2 linked regions of the Kluyveromyces lactis genome follow. Each later gene encodes a partner of the first gene's protein in a complex. Links are inferred from orthologs where the notes say so. Each region holds a gene or a part of one and is shown in the gene's direction. Other genes may lie near its edges. The genes, in order: RRN9 and RRN10.

Region 1 (11,225 bases):
TCGTTTCGATACTGGATCTGAATTCGAGCTTGAATTAGAACTCGAATTTGCGCTATCCGCTGTGCCCCGTTTCATTATACGGTGCGGAGCAGCATAGTGAGCCTGCCCGTTATGAAACTGTTGCTGCTGTTGAAGCAGCAAAGAAGTAGCCATAGCTATAGTTGGGGAAGAGGCAGACGACGATGAGTGGTCCATCCCGTAGTGCTGTGACGAGCTACGTGAGCGGCGCGTCCCACTACCAGTAGCATTAACAGCCCCATTACTGATTCCAAGGTTCTTAGACCCCTTCTTGCGCCCACTGCCGGGCTTCCGCCCTTCTGCCAAAGTCTTGGCTCGTCCAGGTTTACGTCCACTCCCAGGTTTCCGTCCATCACTCAGTTTTTTTGCCATTTCTTTCCGTTTCCGTACACACCTGGTATTCACCTGATATCCACCTGATATCTCTTACAAGATATTCACAGCTGAACCTGTCTGACTAACCCTCACTCCAGCTTCTCAAACTTAATCTAATTCCTTGCCTTGGTGTTGATCTCTGTGTTTCGTTTCGAAGCTTTTCGTTTCGATTTGAAATTAAATTTTTGGTGAAGCTGCGTCACGTGATTAAAACAAATCAGTTTTATACATGGCTGCAATACATGTAATACCTTCAAATCTATTGTTTCCGGCCGAAAAACCCCCATTTCAAGCGATTAACAGGTGCTAGTATCTACAAATATAAACTACTATAAAGTATCTTACCCAGGCTTATCAATAATGGCCCTTTACTTGCCATTCCTTCCCATTTTGAGTTCTCGTTTTCTCTGTCTTCACTTTTCGATCTTAATAAAATGATTTCAAAAGGAAATTTCAACTCAATTCCTTGTTAACTGACAACTTAAAGATACAGAAAAGCCAATGTTTGGTTGTAAACTTCAGGTTGTACCTTTGAAGACCGATCACTTTCTAAGTACTTAGTACCTTTCCCCCCTGTTTTGGCTGCTAGATATTAGCGAGAGTTTTTCAGTGTTAAAAATGTCACAGATTAGCGTTCATGTCAAGTCTGGACAGAACAATTGGACGGTTGAAATCGAAAGTGCTGCTACAATTCGTGCATTTAAGGAGACTATCAGTGGTGTAAGTGGTGTTCCTGCCGATAACCAGCGTTTGATTTATTCCGGGAAGATTTTGAAAGATACAGAGACCGTTGAATCTTACAAAATCCAGGATGGCCATTCTGTGCATATGGTGAAGTCTGGTGGTGCATCCGCTGCGACAACCGGCAGTACAACAACTGGCAGTGCAGCATCACCAGCTGCAACTAACTCAGCAGCTCCTTCCAACATTTCTGCTGGTCAGACTGGTGGATTTAACCCATTGGCTGATTTGACTGGTGCCCGTTATGCAGGTCTCGCCAATTTGCCCTCAGCTGATATGTTTGGTCCAGACGGTGGCCTGAACAGCAGTAACGGCGCCAATCCCGAATCCATGCTACAAATGTTAGAGAACCCCATCTTCCAATCTCAAATGAATGAAATGTTGAGTAATCCACAAATGGTCGACTTCTTGATCCAACAGAACCCCCAATTACAGGCTTTGGGTCCGAGAGCAAGAGATATGTTACAGAGCCCCTTCTTTAGACAAATGATGACAGACCCTCAGATGATTAGACAGTCAATGCAAATGGCCAACTCGATGGGTATGTCTCCAGATGGTGCCGCTTCTGCATTTCCTGCGCCAGGTAGTGCTAGTGGGGCTGGTGGGGCTAATGAAACTAGTACAAATGATGCCGATAGTGCAGCAACAGGTGCTGCAGCATCTTCAACAGGCCAAGCTAACCCATTTGCAGGTTTATTCGGTGCGACTCCAGGAAATGCCGCAGCAGCTAATCCCTTCGCTGGATTATTCCCAGGTGGTCAACAACCTCAGTTCAACCAAGAGCTTTTAGCTAGTATGTTCGGTGGGAACTCCAACGCCACCGGTGCTGCTCCAGCTGTAGATAACAGACCACCGGAAGAACGTTACGAGTCTCAACTCAGACAACTAAACGATATGGGATTCTTTGATTTCGATAGAAATGTTGCTGCTCTAAGACGTGCCGGAGGATCTGTCCAGGGTGCTCTTGACGCATTGTTGAACGGCGACGTGTAATGGTTTCCTTTGTATCCACTCCCCTCTAGGCCTTTGCTCCTGATGTGACCCATATCGCTTCGTATGCAATTGTATATCTATCATCATCTCAGTTATGTACTATTTGTATATTTAAAGCCTTCGGCATCACCATTTAGTGATAATCCTTTTCAACCGTGAGATTCTGCCTTGCATTGACTCATCAGGGATCTCGATCAGAGTATCATAGAGTAAGTCGAGAATAGTATCCTGATCATAATGTGAACTCCATTTAGGATGTCCGTTGAAATCGGAATTACACAGCACTTGCTTCACATCAACTGTTAAGTACGATCCAACACATTGTAAGATCCCAAAATCTGTTTCAGATTGACCATCAACGGGAGCGTATCCTCTAAGTAGCACATACAAAAGAGCAATATCCGAACTTTGTAAAGATTGATATCCAAACCATCCACAAAGCAGTTTGATCTTCTCTGGGAGCGGAAACCCCAGCTGCCATGACTTAAATCTATCAGATAACCCAGAATACCGCGCCCATTGGATCTTAATCCTCTCAATCTCATAAATGACACTGCTCTTATTCACATAGTATACAATGTCCAACGGAACACTGCTAGTATGCCAAAAACAAACGGATTTGTGCATTGTTAACAAATGTGATGCATACTGCTGGTTGAACTCCGAATCGCAAAGGTCTAATGACAATGTTTCTTTGCAACTATCACACTTCAGTGTTACAACAGACCCATCACAAAACTCAATGCGAAGCCCGTGAGCCAAGATAGTGATGGGATTCACATATTGCGAGTCCCAAAATATCGCCTCTGTCTTAGTCGTCTGTACCATTCGTTCTAACGCCCTATGAAACTCATCTCTATTGAAAACGTCTATGCCTTTATAAGATTCACCCAAAGTATCAAGAACCCGCTCATAAGGAGCCACAGAAAATTTGGCACTATCTAATCGTACGGTTCTAGTTTTGTACCGGTATTTGTTGACCCGTGAAGATGCTCTTGACATCTTCTCAATCCATCGTGTCATGTACTTATCGACTTTTATTCGATCTTCACCGTCCAAATACCGACTTAATTGGTCTACTCTTTCTTTCAATTTGGTATCCATGATACACAGTATTATTCCAGCACCGATTATCCAAGACTTCTTTCCAGTTTTACAGAGAGCAAGCTTTTTATCCTGTATGTTCCCTCCAGTGCACCAGTCTAATTCAATTTAGAAACCCGCGATTATCAAATTGATTTTGCCTTATCAGGATCAGATGAAGAAGTTGGAAAACAGGATAAACTGGGATATAACATTAGCCACAGGCCCGATATCGAACCAATAGCCGTAGCATAACATAAAGCAGGTTGACCACACCTACGATTAGTTCAAGATCAAACATTGGGCGCTTGTGGAATGGTTTACGGTAATTATTCTGTAGCATCAGCGCACCCGTACACCGCATATCAAACTGCTTTCGGTCATCGAAATTTCATCAACTTTTCAACTAAAATTTCGGCAGGTCTTCAACAGGATCAGGAAGATACATGTGAACCCGAGCTATCAGAGCATCGCAGTGACGTTCGGTGGGTGTAAATACAGGATTCTGTTTGCAGAAAGCGTTTAATATCCCTTTTCTCGCATTAATTTTGCTGATTTTCTATCTAATAGAAGGACCAATCCTCTCTTTCTCTTTTAAAGCAGTACCACTAGGTTATTGTTGAGAAATCCCTGGTATAAACGACCCCTGCGAGGCATTACCGTATTACTATATCCGCCATTAATCACCTGTTCAAAGATGCCAACAGCATTGGAAGATTATCAAAAGAACTTTTTAGAACTGGCCATTGAGTCAAAAGCTTTAAGATTCGGTGAATTTACTTTGAAATCCGGTAGAGTATCACCATACTTCTTCAATTTAGGACTCTTCAACACCGGTAAGTTGCTTTCAAACTTAGCCACTGCTTATGCAATTGCCATTATCCAATCTGAATTGAAGTTCGATGTCATCTTCGGTCCCGCTTACAAAGGTATTCCATTAGCATCGATCGTTTGTGTGAAGTTAGCTGAAATCGGTGGTTCGAAATTCCAAGATGTGAAGTATGCCTTCAACAGAAAGGAAGCCAAGGACCATGGTGAAGGTGGTAATATCGTTGGTGCTGCACTAAAGGACCAAAAAATCTTGATCATCGACGATGTCATGACTGCAGGAACTGCAATCAACGAAGCGTTTGAGATCATTGCCAAGGAAGAAGGCAAAGTTGTTGGATCCATTATCGCATTAGACAGACAAGAGGTGGTTAACACCGAAGACACCGAAGTTCTAAGTGCTACTCAATCTGTTTCTAAGAGATATGACATCCCAGTTTTAAGTATTGTCAACCTGTCAAACATTATCAGCTACTTGGATGGCAGAATCTCTGTGGAAGAAAGGGAAAAGATGGAACAATACCGTCAAACTTATGGTGCATCTGCATAATATCACCCTCGAATCTATCTTAACATATATAATTATACATATTTAAAACAGACACTGGGAAACGCCGCTTCTTGTTTAGATATTTGGTGATAAAAATGACAGAAGTATTCCATTAACGTCTTACTACACGGAACTTGTTCTTTGGCATCTTCATTTGTTTCTCTGGTGCAGATACCTGCTGCGCGGGAGGCGGAGGTGGAGGAGCATCATATAGCGATTTTGTCATTGGATGCTGTGTCAAGTATGGACTATGCAATGGCACGATGTCATTCATTGCTGTTCCCTTCAATAAAGGAATCTTCTTCGGTTCTACGTTATCAAAATCTGGTCCATATGGAAGCTGTTTTACACTCTCAAGTGTTGTAGGATGGCTCTTCAAGTACTCTCCAATACGCTTCATCAATACTCGCTTGTTATCGATTCCACTCACAAATGGTTTTCCATTTTCCTTGATCAACACACGTACTCTTCCCGGATTACCAAAATCTTGTGGATGTGTCTTTGATCCTTCGAATATTGATGGAATTCCAAGCGATCTGGCAGCATCTGCTATCGTCTTGGCCAATGGGTTCTCCACACAAAGATCTTTTGGAGCACGTCTCCCTTGGGCATGCGTCCTTCTAGTGTCGAAATAACATGGATACAACATCTGGAATTCTTTGATCTCATCCAGCTCTTCTTTAGTCAAAGAATGACTCTTTTCCACTTGACCGGTGGTGCTATTAACAAAATTGAACCCACTACCGCTGCCTGCATTACCAGAAATTGCAGCAGAATATGCTTCTTCTTCTTGATCTTGCGATCTAACCACAGTGGGTACGATCTTTGGTGCCACTGGTGTCTTCATCGTGGAGTCCAATTCTGCGAGATCCATCTCTAAATTATCGATATCATCGATATCATCGATCTCTTCAATCACAGGCATTGTGTGTAAATATCCCTAACAAATACTGTAGCCTTAACTATTGCTTGGTTGATGCTGCTTTGTTTCCAACTCTTTGAAGTGGTCGTTCTTATCCACTGTTTAAAGCTCATCAAAAATTTTCAATTGAATTTAAAGGTTTAGTAGGGATAGAGAACTAAAGAGGATCAACTAACATGAATCCAAACAGCTACTAATGATTGAGTTCATAGCAATTGTAGCCGCTGGACTTCAAGTGGGTAGCTAACATTGTACCGGTCCCTTTTTATTCGGTTTTGTTTCGGTAAAATGGACTCACAACTGGCCCGTGATGCCATAGATCTGTTAGCAACGCTAGATCAAGAACAAAGGAATGATCTTTCAGTACATTTATACTCTGCGCATCTATTGAAACACTTATTGTATAGAGCGAATAAGGATGAGAAGAACATATTACGTACCGAGACGTTTGTGAAGACCGTCTTGAAAGAAGATTGGACCGCGTGGCCGAGCAGAAATTCAATAATCGACCCCAATACATCCGATATATATGAAGATCAAGCAGGGTGTCTCGCCTCTGAAAATATAGGCGGTATTCATAGGAAAGGGGTACAACCGGGTCAATTGGACCAGTCATCGTTGAACCATGCGACAGAGATGTTATATGGAGAACTCAATGCGTTCTGGCAGCAGAAACTCAAAGAGAGTTCGGTAATGGGCCAACAAACTGAAAATAAGACCGCCGATGAGGGTCAGATTGAGGATCCAAATACAATTGTCGATGAAAATGACAGTGAGATACTTGGCGTAAATGATACGGCGCTGGACGTCAACGAAATGGATTTACCAGATGATATATTTCAAAACCTACTGTTCAAGGTGGATAGGTTTATTGGATCTTTGCATTTGGATGCAGCTGAGACCAACACTGTCACGTTATCGACAATTCCTAGTGAGCCTGAGATCAAATTAAAGAGTACCACCATAGGCAATACTGAAGCAGTGACGACCAGAAGTAAAGAAAAGTACGATTACAAGGACATAATTGTGCACGGCTGTGAGACTGGGGAAGATATGTCTCGACAATATTTGCGGGCCATTGATTTATTTCAAGATCTGCCGAAGACTATGGACAAATCGCAGTTTGTACTCCCGGATGCATACTTGGACAGGTTCTCTCAGGTGAACCTGGGCAACTCGGACTCGGAACAATCAGATGATGATCCACAAGATCATACAAAGCTCGAAGAGAACATTAAGAAGAAAGAAAACAGTGGTAAGAAAGACGTGAAATCGTTCGTTGATATGAAACGAATTATCAAGGATCGTAATAATGATCCTGTAGTGAGAAGAGAGACAAGGCTCCTACTTAGGAAGGATGAGTTTGCGAGGGACAAGAAAATGTTCTTCACGGTCTTGAATCACCAAAACTCGAGTGAGCAATCCAACAAACCTCGAAGAAGAATCAAGAAGAGAGATAAGAACAACAATAAAAATATAGTTTCACTAAATATTGACTCGGATTATGGACCTGGAGACTTGGATTGAATTCGTTTAATCTCATCAAACATGACATCCATAATCTCGAGCATCAAACTAACATTTAAATACTCGTTCTGTAGCATTGAATGTAATCTATATCCTGCATTGCTCGCATACATTGTGCCGACCACTTTCCCGCAAGTCTCTACCATAAACCTTTCAAGCATCGCCTGCGATTCTGTACTGGTTCGGATAATTTCACCTTCGGTCCTGGCTGATGGCTGTGGAATGCTGCTGCTCTTGAAGAATATATCATCTACCCAAAGTATGGAATTAAGTTTAGAGATAAGGAGTGTTACTTTCTCTGGTGATCTGATTCGTTGTATAACATCTTTGATATATTTCTCAATAGTGCTACCCAATAATCTTTGTAATACAACTATGATAGCCCTTCCTCTTAGCCAACCGGTATTGGACTGGTTTAGAGCAAAAAAAGAAATGAACAACTCACATATGGGTTTCACTAAGGTTCCTGTATTGTTGCTACCATTTGCTCCCGAATGGAAATTTCTCTCGTCCTCAAAGAAATCTAATTCATCTGAGAAACTTTTGGGATCATCAAATCTCCCTGCTGATACATTTGTAACTTCTCCAACGGTGTTGTCCGTCTTTAAAAGAACCATTGATCTTCTCTTATCCTCAACATCTTCTTCCAAATTCTCTTTAACCTTAAAAGTGTTGGAAACATCCGTCAAATATTTTCTAAAGTATTCATCTTGACAAACCTCACGTATTTTTAACAATTCCTGCATGTAGTATTCGAGTCTTTTTCTTCTTTCTTCATACAATAATGTTTTCGATACATGATACTTTAATGACATTTTTACTCTCTCCGGGAAGCCATTAGAATTTTGCAAATAGCTTACCACCCCCGGATACTTCTTCTTCAAGTAGGAGTTCAACCTGTAGAATTCGCTGAATCTTCGAGGTATATCCCACGTAACTAACTGGTTGTTGAAGATATGCTGTACATTTATCAAATAGTAAACAGTTTCTTTACCATCTTCAAGAGACACATCAGTCAAATAAGATTTAATACAAAGTTTTGCCCTGCCATATAAAATATTAGCGTTCTCATGAACCATATGCTGTTGTTTAAGCAATTCTTTGTATTCCAGTTCTCTTCTAAGTGTTCTTTCCGATTTCTTCAACAATATCAGTCTCGTTTGATTATTAGTTAGCTCCGCCTTCAATATCAAATGATGTAGAAGCTCCAGCTGCTTTTTAAGTGTATCAATTGATAAAACCAAATTACCTATTTCCTCCTTCAAATTTAAAGAATTCAAGATAGACGTATCATTATAACTGCCATTTTCCTGCTTGCTTGATCCGTTCAAGCTTTCTAGACTACTGTTTGCAATCGAATAAGGGTAAAACGATACCGAGTTCAATTCAGAGGTTTCTTCGTCCTCTTGTACGGAGGTATCTCCAAATAGTTCATCATCGAACAAAGATTTCTCTCGCGCACCGAAAATATTAGAGTACGATTTCTTAGGAGTTTTCAAACTTGAAATAGCATCGGTGGTGCTCACATCGTTATTGTTTAAAATGTCATCTAACGCTTTGCCTAAATTACCATGTGTGATTACCCTCACGGTGTCCGTTGGAAAATCATTGTTCAAAGTATTTGACGCTTGAGTGGCTATATTATGAGCCTTTATAAAATCGCTATCAGCCAACATCTGATAAAAATTATCAGAGTCTTTGAATATAGGGTACCATTTTTCGGCTAATATTTTAAGAGCCGATTTCTGTAACAACAACATGCATCTACGAGCCTCTACTGATTTGTCAAACTGTGACTCTGTTACGGAAGGAGTATCATCCCTTTCCTTCAAAAAATCAATAATCGTTTTGACGCTATTAGAATCCAATTCCTCAATGTGTGCTCGAGAAATAGGAGAGCTGAAAAATTGTTGCTCAAGTTCTCTTAAATGTTTATTGCCATTTTTGGAAGTATCAATTTGTATCTCATCATTAGATATATCTTCTAACGGATTCCGTTTCCTTTCGATAAAGGACCACAGCTGTAAAGCAATTATTCCTGATTGATCTGTTTGTGGTTCAAGGAATGCCGAAAAGAACTTCAAAGAGGAAACATTCGTAAGCACATCTTGAACAGTGACCGTTTCCACAAACTTCTCAAAGGATTGTAATTGCTGCTCTAGATTATCGTGTGCCTGGTTACTCTGTGGGTCATTTGGGCTTAGATATGCAAGCTTGCTGTATATTAGATTCAATGCCAATTCAATCCTCTTATTAAACAAAGCGTGCTTTTTTTGAAAAGACTTTGAGGATACTTCTCCTTCATTCGGTACGCATCGTATTTGTAGTGCATCAATCCATAACTTAACCTTGAGGATATTTAATTGGCTGACTTCCGTGAGACAACTCAACTGCTTTAAGAAACATTCGTAATCATCATCTGTTCCATGAACATTCGTTACATCAATAGTACCACTTTTCGCAAGACTTTCATTATCCAGACAATTTTCATCATCAGCTTCAATCGTTTTAGATAGTACAGCTCGGAGCTCGGTGACTTGGGACCTTTCCTTTAAGACTTGAGAACAAATATCGATCAATTTAGTGTTCCAGAAATCTGGAGTCGCAATCCTTGAAACGAGTGGCTGAAGAACCGAACACGCCACAACTTCTCTTAGAATTGTCCTGACAAAAGGTGATTCTAACTCCTTGGGATCAACAAGAATCGATAGCAACTCTTTAGCTCTTTTCCGGGAATAATTTTGTACATCCTCAGAAAGACTTTCCTGACTCAAAGTGAGAGATAGATCCTTATGGATACGGTACTGCTTATTGAATTCCACTGCTACAGCTAAATCCACATTTTGTTCAGGTTTGTCTATAGCAACGCTACTTGTGATGCTCTCTTGAGATATATAGAAGGTAGTGTAATGTTTCGTCAATAAAGGTAGTATTCTTAAAATCATCAACTCACAAAGGTCAACATCTGAGAGAGCAATCGAAAATCGTATTATGGCCTCTTTTAACACCGATTTCACAGTATTGGGAAATTTGTCTGATTCACTGATTGATCCAAACCAGGATAAAATGAAATTGCTGATGATGTTATTGAGTAAGATATCAATTTCTTTTGATAATGCTTCGTTATTGGGGAACAAGGCTTCTTGACCGGCAAAATTATCATCATCTGAAGTTTTGGTAATAGGTTTATCACCTGTGAACCTTAGCGTTGGTTTTGTTGGGAGCACCCGAGGTTGTTCATTTAATGCAAGATATATCCAAATGATTGACAAAAGAGACGCAACCGATAGGACAAACAAACACTCCCCCCACCCCAAGAAGAAGGGAACCACGAACAAAACATGCCACTTGAAACTGGGCATTTAGAAATTCAATATATGGACTGCTGCCAATGGAATGCTGTTAAGCCGCGTCTTGGGCAGTATCTTTTCGACAGTGGAATAATTTAGCTTGTTTACACTATTTGTTGAAAACCTTGAAATGAACTAAATGCGTTTAAATCGTCTATCTAACGAGAATTTTTATATACAACATGTACGTACAATGGAGGGATGATGCTGCAAGAAGAAAATAAAGAGAACATCAATGTGAACTTTTACGCTTGTGTGTACCCTTCTTATCCTTCTTATCCTTCTTGTCTTTCCTATGCTTATCCTTCTTGTCTTTCTTATGCTTACTCTTTGGCTTGTCAACCTTATGCGACTTCTTCTTCTTCTTCTTCTTCTTCTCGTCTTTGCTCTTTTTATCTTTCTTCGATGTCACTTCAGAAACAGCCAGTTTAACTATAGTAGATCCATTGTTGGACGGCAGATCTGTTTTAATGGTACCTTTCAACACTTCACCTCTAACAAATGATCGATAAAGTGGTGAATCGCTCTTTGATATGGAAGAAGCGACGACTTCGTTTTGTTTGAACGAGATCCCATCGGACCCGCTTTTGATGTCCAAGTTTCGAAGTTGTCCGTCGAACAAACGTTCCCACCAGGCTTCACTGTCATCATGTCCTGGTGCACATCCAAGCCCTTTCTTATCTTTCTTGTGTTTCACAAGAATCGGTTTTTTCAGTCCTCCGTTCCGTAAGGCCTCACCTTCTTGCCAGCCATACGATTTAAGGTACCCTTTACTGTCCATGGGTAATATATGGTGGAACTGAGGTATAATTATCGGGGATTCACAATGGTAGATCAG
Region 2 (10,137 bases), on another chromosome or scaffold:
CTTTGAGAGACGTGTCACATGGTGACGTGTTTGTGAACGCTCCATACACCGGCAAGTTCCAATACTGCTTTTTGAATGAAAACTCGAACATTGACACTAAGGACGTGACTTTCAATGTTTTCGGTGTTATTTATGTCGATTTAGATGATCCAAACACCAGATCTTTGGACGGCTCAGTGAGACAATTGTCCAAACTGGTCAAAGAAGTGAAGAACGAACAAAGTTACATTATTATCAGAGAAAGAACTCACAGAAACACAGCAGAATCCACTAATGACCGTGTCAAATGGTGGTCTGTGTTCCAATTGCTCGTCGTTGTAGTGAATTCGTTGTTCCAGATCTATTACTTGAAGAGATTTTTCGAAGTCACTTCGTATGTGTAAGTAAAACGAAAGGCATGGCTGCATGAAGTATATCAGATATAGTCGTCGTGTATATTCAAAGTAAAAATATGTGTATATGTATATCCAGGTTTTTCCTCTAGCGCATAAGTATATCATATTAGAGGAGTAATCCCTAGGGCTGGAAATTGAATAAAGAAAAACCTTCACGTGATCGCCTCAATCTGCTATCATCTTCTTTTTTCCTCAAATATGTTTAAGAAAGCACCCTGTCGAAGGAGTGTGATGCTTGGATATGTGGCTCCGGTTCGAAACCGCACAGTCACACCGGGTCTCTTTCAAATGGAAGAGGTTTCACAATGGTATCCCAAACAGGCGTGAAATGTCTCGTAGTGGTTATATGCCATTACCCGCTTTTCGTGTCTGGCCGCCCGGTCTACGCGTTCATTTATTTGTGTAACTGCTTTGGACAGCTGGATCTCGGTTCGGTTGTCACGTGGTCGACGTGTCCCACCGTTACAAAATTGTTGCGGGTTATCCTTTGTGGTGGCTCGGTCGCATGAGAAGTCTGCGGTTCGAAGCCCAACTGGTAACGATTTAGCATTTCAACTAATACTTGAAGCTAGTTTAGTGTTTAACGTTGTAGGGGAGTCTCATCCAGCACAACGAACACTGCCCGTGACGAGGTGGTGTGGATTGCACGTCCCGTGGTTAAGCAGTGCGTGTGGGTTCAGAGGCAGACATACACTGTCCTTCATTTTTTTTGGCTGTACTTAGAAGTATGTTATATGGCTAGCGTCGTGCACTGATTCATCATTCAACAAATACTCCAGCGAAGCTGCACTGTTTGTCTAGTTTAAATTTGAACTATCTCACTATGTTAAAAAATTGTGAATTGCACATAACTACAACAACTTCTGTTTCCCCGGTTCATACTATACACAGCCATTTAGCATTCCAAAAGCATACCTCCAATGAACGCAAACGTATATGAAGCAAGCCATAACCTCGTCAAAGGTCCAAATGGATCAATTCTTTCACCGGATGAATGCCTTGGTTTAAGGTTGAACCATATCGTTCCAATCCCATTATTGACTAGAGACGAATTACAAACGAGATTACCCACTATTGATACGAAAGTGGTGCATTACTTTTTGACACAACTCATCTTACAAAGGTACCCGCATCTAGTGAAACGATTCGATGAGACCAGTCTCATCACAATTAGTTGGTTATTGGAGAAATGGATCGAAGATTACTTAGTGCTGCCGGAAACTGGATCCGTGTCTGAAGGGGTTTCTCAACAGATTAGCAAGGATATAAATTACAGATACTCACCAGCTGATATTTAGAGGTAATACTACTTAGTGTGTGTGTTTTACATGCCTTCCATTGTGTACCTGATCCAGTCTCTCTATTTACATACCACGTGACTTGAAAATTTTCCGAGACTTTGAAGAAAAGAAAAAGTGAAAATTAGAATCCGTTGATGATGCGATGAGATGAGCATTGTTTCCTGTCAGATACGGTCTTGTGTGTCTTGCTGTTGGGTTTATTCGGTTCTCTCTTACCAGAACTAGTGCAACATACAAGCAGGAGAAATGGCTAGAAGAAAGAATCAAAAGAAGGGACCAAAAAAGACTTTTGGTACTCGTGATGACTCCAACAACCAAAAGAATTGGACTGAATTAGTGAAGGAAAACGAGAAATGGGAAACTTACTACAAGGATTTAGGTGTAATCCCAGTTGAAGAATGGGACCAGTTTAAGAAGACTTGCCAGTCGCAATTACCTTTAACTTTTAGAATCACTGGTTCTCGTAAACATTCTAAAGAAGTACTACAACTGTTCCAAGAACACCATCTACCCAATTTGACCAACGTTACTTGGGAAAATGAAGTGGTTAAGCCACCAATGGCTTTGCCATGGTACCCGGAACATCTTGGCTGGCAATTAGATGTTTCTAAGAGTGTTATCAGAAAAAATGAACAGTTTGCTCGTATGCAAAGATTCCTTGTTGTTGAAAACGCTGTTGGTAACATTTCCAGACAAGAAGCTGTCTCCATGATTCCACCTATTGTGTTGGATGTTAAGCCTCACCATTATGTTTTGGATATGTGTGCTGCCCCTGGTTCTAAGACTGCACAGTTGATTGAAGCTTTACATGCCGAATCTGATGAACCTTCTGGGTTTGTCATAGCTAACGATGCAGACTATAAGAGATCTCATATGTTGGTGCACCAATTGAAACGTTTGAATTCTGCTAACTTGATGGTCGTTAACCATGATGCTCAATTCTTCCCACGTATCAAAGTGGATTCCACCGAAGGTTCTAAAGGTCCTCAGTTCTTGAAATTCGACAGAGTTTTATGTGACGTTCCATGTTCTGGTGACGGTACTATGAGAAAGAACGTCAACGTTTGGAAGGATTGGAACACTGGATCTGGTCTAGGTTTACACATTGTGCAATTGAATATCTTGGAAAGAGGTCTAAATTTGTTGAAAGAAGGTGGTAAACTTGTATACTCCACTTGTTCTTTGAATCCAATTGAAAACGAAGCAGTTATTGCTGCCGCTTTGAGAAGGTGGGGTGATAAGGTAAGATTGGTCAACTGTGATGATCAATTGCCAGGTTTAGTCAGATCTAAGGGTATCACTGAATGGAAGGTATACGACAAACAATTCCAAGTTAGAGAAAAAGGACATGAAAACTGTTTGGATTCATGGTTCCCACCAACTGCAGAAGAGGTTGAAAAATTCCATTTGGAAAACTGTATGAGAGTGTACCAACATCAACAGAATACAGGTGGGTTCTTTATCACCGTTTTCGAGAAGATCGATACATCAACTGCTGAAACTCCGGTACCAGCTTCTGAAACTGCTGCTGCTGTAGAAGAACAAGCCCAAGAACCTGAACTAAAAAAGGCTAAAATCGATACATCCTCTACTGCCTCTCACATTCAAAAGAAGGAAAAACTACCTCGTGATGCCAATGAAGAACCATTTGTGTTCGTGGATCCAAACCATCCAGCATTAGCCAAATGTTGGGAGTTCTACGGTATTGATGACAAATTTGATAAGTCCACTTGTTTGGTTCGTAACGCTACTGGTGAACCAACTAGAACTATCTACCACGTCGCTACTCCATTGAAACAATTGATTGTAAACAATGAAGATAGACTAAAGATTGTTTACTCCGGTGTAAAACTGTTTGTTTCCCAAAGGTCAGACATTGATTGTGCTTGGAGAATTCAATCCGAATCCTTACCAATCATGAAACAACATATGAACTCTGCCAGAATCGTCCCAGGTAACATGGAAATTCTAAAGAAGTTGTTAACTGAAGCTTTCCCAAGATACGAAGACTTAACAGCGGACAACGTCGATCCAGAATTCATTTCCAAGACTCAAAAACTGAGTGCAGGATGCACTTTCATTAAAGTCGATAGAAATGATCCATCCAAGGAAGATTTGTTTTTACCAGTTTGGAACGGATCAAAATGTATCAACTTGATGGTTTGTAAAGAAGATGTTCACGAATTGTTGTACAGAATTTTCGGCATCGAAACAACCAGCAAACAAAATCCAAAGGCTGATCATATGGCCAAGAAGGCCCAAGAAGCAGCTGACGCATCAGCTAACTCTTCGAAGGAAGAGACTTCTGAGAAAGAAGAAGTACCTGCTGTAACTGTCACTGAAACATCCACGGCTGAATAAGTTTCTTCACTCCACATTATCAGTTATAGACTTCTACATGAAATTATAAAAGCGGTATTCCTTTGAAGGTTGAAGTAATCATTATTTAAGTCTATTAGTTACAAATTTGTATATTATGCTAATATAAGCGATGTAGTACTGCATCTATAATGGAAAAAATGGGAACGGTATATTGTTGTTCTGAGCTTATAGAATTGTTTTCTTCCGTTGGAAATGTTGAATCTTGATTTCACATTGTTCCCATAGTATAAACAGCGAAAGATCTTTGTAGTTGGCGACGTACACTAATCTTTTGTGCACCCACAAAACTGTCCACTGTTACTTTAATTGCTCTGTCTAAATCCCATGAGGAAACGAATTCTGATAATCTCATTTTCGCGAAGGCTTCAGCAATTCTTAAGATAGATTCCAAATGACGAACGGTGATCGGGAATGAACCAGTAGTGACACTCTCTCGTCTCAAATCAGCATAAACCCTACTCACTTTGTCCATATCCATTTGATGTAACTTAGGGTAAACTTTAGTTCTTGCGTAATGAATATACTTCATTAGCATATGCTGAGATATGGGCGAAATTTCTTCTTCTCTTTTACGAAGGTTCTGCAAGCGTCTTTGTTTGGCAGATAACGGAGTTTCTTCATCACCCTCCCCATTAGGATTTTCCGTTGGAACGTTACCATCATCAAAATCATCCAGATCCTTGTCTGGATGAGACCTGATATGTGAATCAACGACGAAAGATGCTAGCCGATTATCACTTTCTTCATCAACCAAATCTCTTACCACGCAGAGGATATCGAATCTTGACAAAATTGGTTCAGTCAAATTGACATTTTGTGATAACGGAAGAGTAGAGTTGTAACGACCACCGATCGGGTTGGCGGCAGCTAAAATAGAGCATCTGGCTTGTAACGTGGTAACGATACCTGCCTTAGAGATGGATATACTTTGCTGTTCCATTGCTTCGTGAATAGAAGTACGATCCTGATCGTTCATCTTATCGAATTCATCAATCAAACAAACACCCTTATCCGCAAGCACTAACGCACCACCTTCAAGAGTCCACTCTTTAGTTATTTGGTCCTTCCTGACAGAAGCTGTCAAACCGACTGCAGAAGCACCTTGACCTGTAGCGAAGACAGCTCTGTTGGCAGTTTTTTCCACGTATTTCAAAATTTGGGACTTGGCAGTACCTGGATCACCGAGAAGTAGAATGTTTATGTCACCACGGATGGAATGCTTACCGTTAATGTTTTTAGGAACACCTCCGAATAAAGAACATGCAATTGCTGTCTTGATATCCCTGTGCCCATAAATAGATGGAGCCATTGATGAAATGATTTTATCGATGATTCCTCTGTCACGAGACATCTTTCTGAATTCACGCTCTTCGTCTTCTGTCCAACTGAAGGCATCCAGCCCTTCGTGTTCATCACCATCATGCAATCCGCCTTCTCTTCTCTTCACTGAATTGGCTTCCAGTACTGTTGCGAAAACGGGGAACCCGTTCTTTGCATTCAAATTACCGTCATATGTGTTCTTATAGATTCCTGTCACTTCGACTTCTTCACCAGGTTTTGCGATATCAACCAAGTCCCACAACAAAATGACTTCTCTGTGACGTGGTAATCTACCGGCTGGAACAGACCCTGGTGATTCTTGGATGGTGATTCTTTGGTAATTACGGTACAGAGTTTTTTCCATATTAATTCTGAAGGGACCCTTAGATCTACAATTTGTGCAGAACGAGATTTTAATTTCTTCATTTGAATCCTGATAGTAAGGCCCAAGTGTGGCACCACATTTCAAACAGTTGAATTTAACGTATTTAAGTTGTGGGAAGACACCAGTTCTTCTTGTCACGACACCACTAACTCTAACTAAAGAATTCAAATGAGTTTCACGTAAAGCACGTAAGTTCAATATACTAGGGAAATCCGAGATTCTTACGTGAATTTCCGAGTGAATACGAGTATAATCGGGATAGTGTAGTTGTGTAGCTTCCATAGCCACTGTATCAAATATTTTCAACATTTCTTCGGGAGATTTGGCTAAAAATAGGGCTAGAATGGCCTTGGATTCTACCAAATGTCTATAATTAACTTCCAAGGATTCAGAGTTCATTTCACCGAGAGTTCTGATACGAGCACCGTAAACGGATTTACCTGACTCATCAGTATATTCAAGCAAAAACGATTTCAACTCTCTGGCAATAGTACGTGATACATTCGGTTGAGTGATCCATTCAGAATAACTTGATGCCTTCACATCTGCCAAAGATTCCAACGAGAGCTCATCTGCCAACGGATCTATATCCATATCTGATAACAAATCATCATCTGCTTCTTCGTATTGACGTCTTCTACGTCTCCTCTGTACTGGAAGACCCATAGCATCCAAATTATGCGCACCAGCTCCTTCGCCATCATCATCATCAAGGTATGCTGTGTTCCTATGCACCAAACGATCTCTCTCGTTCAATTGTGCATCGATTCTTCTACGCTCAGCGAGCGACAACTCTTGCTGCTCCTGGTCGTCGACTCCTCTTCTTTCATACGTATCATGTTCTGTGTTTGAAGCGTAATCACGGTACATATCATCACCCATCAAATCGACTTCATTCATTCTTTCTTCCACATCTTCAAGATCCTCTTGAACATTGACAGCTTCATCTCCATCGTTATCTGGATTCTCAAAATCTATCTCATCTGGAGATCCAAGCGGGTCTTCAAACTGTGGAGAACTAGGGATGTTAGCGCCACCTTCACGGGGTTGTGTAGACAAAGAATCATCCTCATCCTCATCATCATCAGCTCTTCTTCTTCTCCTCCTTCCGTTATTTATTTCATCATTATCAGACATCTTGAAACACTTTCAAAAACAGCAATTAATAATCTTCAATTATCGCACTACCAAATCCGATCACACAATTGTCTTCCTGATGCTTCGATGACCTACTTGTTACACTTTGTTTCAGACCATTGGGATCTAAAGCTATCTTAAGATCTTAACGTTTTTTCCGGCTTTTTTCTTCAGTTGAATGTACGAAAATGATCTTTAATTGAAACAATAACATTTCCTAAAATGGTGTTTTGCAACGATCTGACCATTGTAGAGCGTTGGGGCTAATAATACAGCAATGGCAATATTCCAATAACACCAATCGGTAGTTCTCACCTCTTTTAGCTTTGCAATCTACATTTGATTAGTATAATTTCTTTATTATGATGCGTGGATCACGTGATAATCACATGGGATCATACGCTTAAAAACCGTACTTATAGCTCCAATCACACGATGAAGCAACACAATTGCAGGTAAAGTATGGATGTTGAAGCTCTGGAATGATGTGATGCATTTTGTGCCCCATATTAGATCGATTTCCATCCGGTAACCGTCCAAATGTGTCGATATTGACGTAAAATCATACGGAATATTGATTCATCGACATGGAAAATCTCTTACTATCAATGAAATATCCCCAAATTTAAACATAAGGAACACGTCAAGTTAAAGGCAAAAAGGGTACCTTCATTCACGCATTTCTTACTACAAGGTGAGTTCTGGCACTTAAAGATAGTCTTGTTGGTGTTAGGGAATGAGCGAGATTAGCGTTAAAGAATATGTGAAGCGACAGGAGGAACTGGAAGATGAAGCAAATAAACTGATGCCATATGATCCAAGCCATTGCACTTATTCCATGGGCCCAATTCGACAGCCAATATTCGCATGTCGTACTTGCAACAGTATAGGAGTGTGCTATTCATGCTCTATTCAGTGTCACAGTACCTGTGACTTGGTGGAACTTTTCGATAAGAGGAATTTCAGTTGCGATTGCGGTACAGAAAGGCAGTTTGAACACGGTGAGAAGTTCACACCTTGTAATATAAGAAAGAATACTACACCAGATATACCAGACATGAGTAACAGGTATGGCCAGAATTTCAAAGGGTTATTTTGCTCTTGCCATAGAGAGTATGACCCGAATACAACGACAACGATGTTACAATGCGTCCTTGGCTTGGAGTGCAATGAGGACTGGTTTCATGATCACTGCATTCTAGGGATAGAAGAAAACCCAGACCCGGTTACAGAAGACAGAAAGCTACCAGGATTCCCTGAACTGTCAAGTTTCGAAGGATTTATCTCATGGGTTTGTATTGACAAGTACAGCTCGATATTTGAAAAGCTTTTATCACACGAAGCGTGTGATAAAATCATAGCACATAAAGTGTACAGGAGAGATCTGGTATCGGATCAGAACTCCGAGGGAATGACATTGGAAAGTACCAAGAAAAGAGGGCTAGAAGAAATGGAAAACTCTTCGGGTTCATATTCATTATTCTTGAAAGAAGGATATAGGGAAGAATTTAAACGATTAAGGGATTCACTTCCAGAAGGTGACTCCTTGAAAAGCTTTTTCATGCACACAGCACCATTCCTCACTTGTGAAGAGAAAGTTTATGAACCCCCGGAGGAACAAGAGCAAGGATCTCTTGTAGAAATGGGAGAAACGGCCCTAGCTCAAAACTTGTCTCATCAGCAAACTCTAGCCAGTCTAGTCGCTTTCCAGCAAATAAAATCAAAACTAACAGATTTCCTACGACCATTTGCGGAAAACGATAAGGTCGTTAGTGAATCTGATATCAAGCAGTTTTTTGATACTCAGAAAAAATGAACTCTTGTTACGACATTTAATCATCATAAACTTTAAATGTGGATATGTTATATACATTGCTACATTTAGAAGAATTTATTGTCAATAAGAGGGATATCTCGAGCTTCTACTCTAAACTTTTCATTTACACATGTATGTATTCAAAAAGGTGTTAGTTTTATATAACATATGAGATAACTTGCATATCCGAATAGACTTCATTTTAGTAGATATAAGAGTTTTTCAAAGTGAATTGTCTATGGTGCCACAATGATGGCCTTCAATTCAGTGTAATCATCGATACCATACTTAGAACCTTCTTTACCTAAACCTGAATTCTTAACACCACCGAAAGGTACTGCAGGTTCACTGATTTCTCCAGTGTTGACACCAACCATACCAACATTTAGTTTCTCTGCGGCATCAAAAATGGTGCTAATATTTTGACTGTAGAAGTAGCCTGCTAAACCGACATCCGTGTCATTAGCACGTTTGATGACTTCATCCACATCCTTAAACTTAATTAATGGAGCAACAGGTCCAAAGATTTCTTCATAAAATATATCCATGGACTCGGTTACATTACCAAGTACTGTTGGTTGGTAGAATAATGGACCTAAAGAACTAGCTCTTGAGCCACCTATCAAGACGTCTGCTCCCTTCGTTTTTGCATCCTGAACTAAAGATGCGACTTTGTCAATGGATTTGTCATGGATCAATGGACCGTGAGTGACACCGTCTTGGAACCCATCGCCTAATTTAAAGGTTTTGTCGATCTTATCAACCAACCTCTTACTGAATTCATCGTAAAGATCTTCATGCACAAAGATTCTGTTTGCACAGATACAAGTTTGTCCGGATTGTCTGAATTTACATCCGATTATTCCATCTAAGGCACGGTCTAAGTCAGCGTCCTTGAAGACGATATATGGTGCATTACCCCCCAATTCCATAGAGAATTTCTTGATATTCTTTCCCTTGCTTGATTGTCCCATTAACAATTGACCGATTTTAGTTGAGCCAGTGAAAGTGATCTTCTTGACCAATTCATGTTCGCAAACGTATTCACCTATTTCACTTGTGTGATTAGTTGGTAAGATATTGCATACACCTGCAGGAAGACCGGCTTTCTCTGCGATCACCCCTAACGCCAATGCACTCAACGGAGTTTCATGAGCAGGTTTGATGACACATGTATTACCAGTAGCAATGACTGGTGCTAACTTTCTAGCAATCATTGCGCTAGGGAAATTCCACGGAGTTAGAATACCAATAACACCCAATGGTTGTCTTATTGTAAAGATCTTTTGGTCACTGGATACAGCACTTGGAATAATATCTCCATAAATTCTTGGAGCCTCTTCAGCAAACCATTTGAAGAACATTGCAGAGTACACAATCTCACCTAGTGAGTCCTTGTAC

Evidence for each region.
Region 2: RRN9 (region 1) and RRN10 share a complex: the UniProt entries of both Saccharomyces cerevisiae proteins name them as parts of the UAF (upstream activation factor) complex. The link is inferred for Kluyveromyces lactis from reciprocal best matches to the Saccharomyces cerevisiae genes RRN9 and RRN10.

The regions. Positions count from the first base shown.
Region 1 is NC_006040.1:160,617-171,841, forward strand, and holds RRN9 (Rrn9p), read left to right. Parts: upstream 1-5,798; coding exon 5,799-7,037; downstream 7,038-11,225. Other genes in the region: DAT1 (Dat1p), read right to left, coding at 1-390; ubiquitin domain-containing protein DSK2, read left to right, coding at 1,012-2,127; KLLA0_D01881g (uncharacterized protein), read right to left, coding at 2,254-3,231; orotate phosphoribosyltransferase URA5, read left to right, coding at 3,908-4,588; RNA-binding signal recognition particle subunit SEC65, read right to left, coding at 4,701-5,513; MDM1 (Mdm1p), read right to left, coding at 7,013-10,399; TMA23 (Tma23p), read right to left, coding at 10,620-11,168. UniProt on the Saccharomyces cerevisiae protein: Component of the UAF (upstream activation factor) complex which interacts with the upstream element of the RNA polymerase I promoter and forms a stable preinitiation complex.
Region 2 is NC_006042.1:1,161,424-1,171,560, forward strand, and holds RRN10 (Rrn10p), read left to right. Parts: upstream 1-1,315; coding exon 1,316-1,693; downstream 1,694-10,137. Other genes in the region: EMP24 (Emp24p), read left to right, coding at 1-383; NCL1 (tRNA (cytosine-C5-)-methyltransferase), read left to right, coding at 1,943-4,057; MCM DNA helicase complex subunit MCM2, read right to left, coding at 4,287-6,920; KLLA0_F12606g (uncharacterized protein), read left to right, coding at 7,657-8,736; KLLA0_F12628g (NAD-dependent succinate-semialdehyde dehydrogenase), read right to left, coding at 8,973-10,137. UniProt on the Saccharomyces cerevisiae protein: Component of the UAF (upstream activation factor) complex which interacts with the upstream element of the RNA polymerase I promoter and forms a stable preinitiation complex.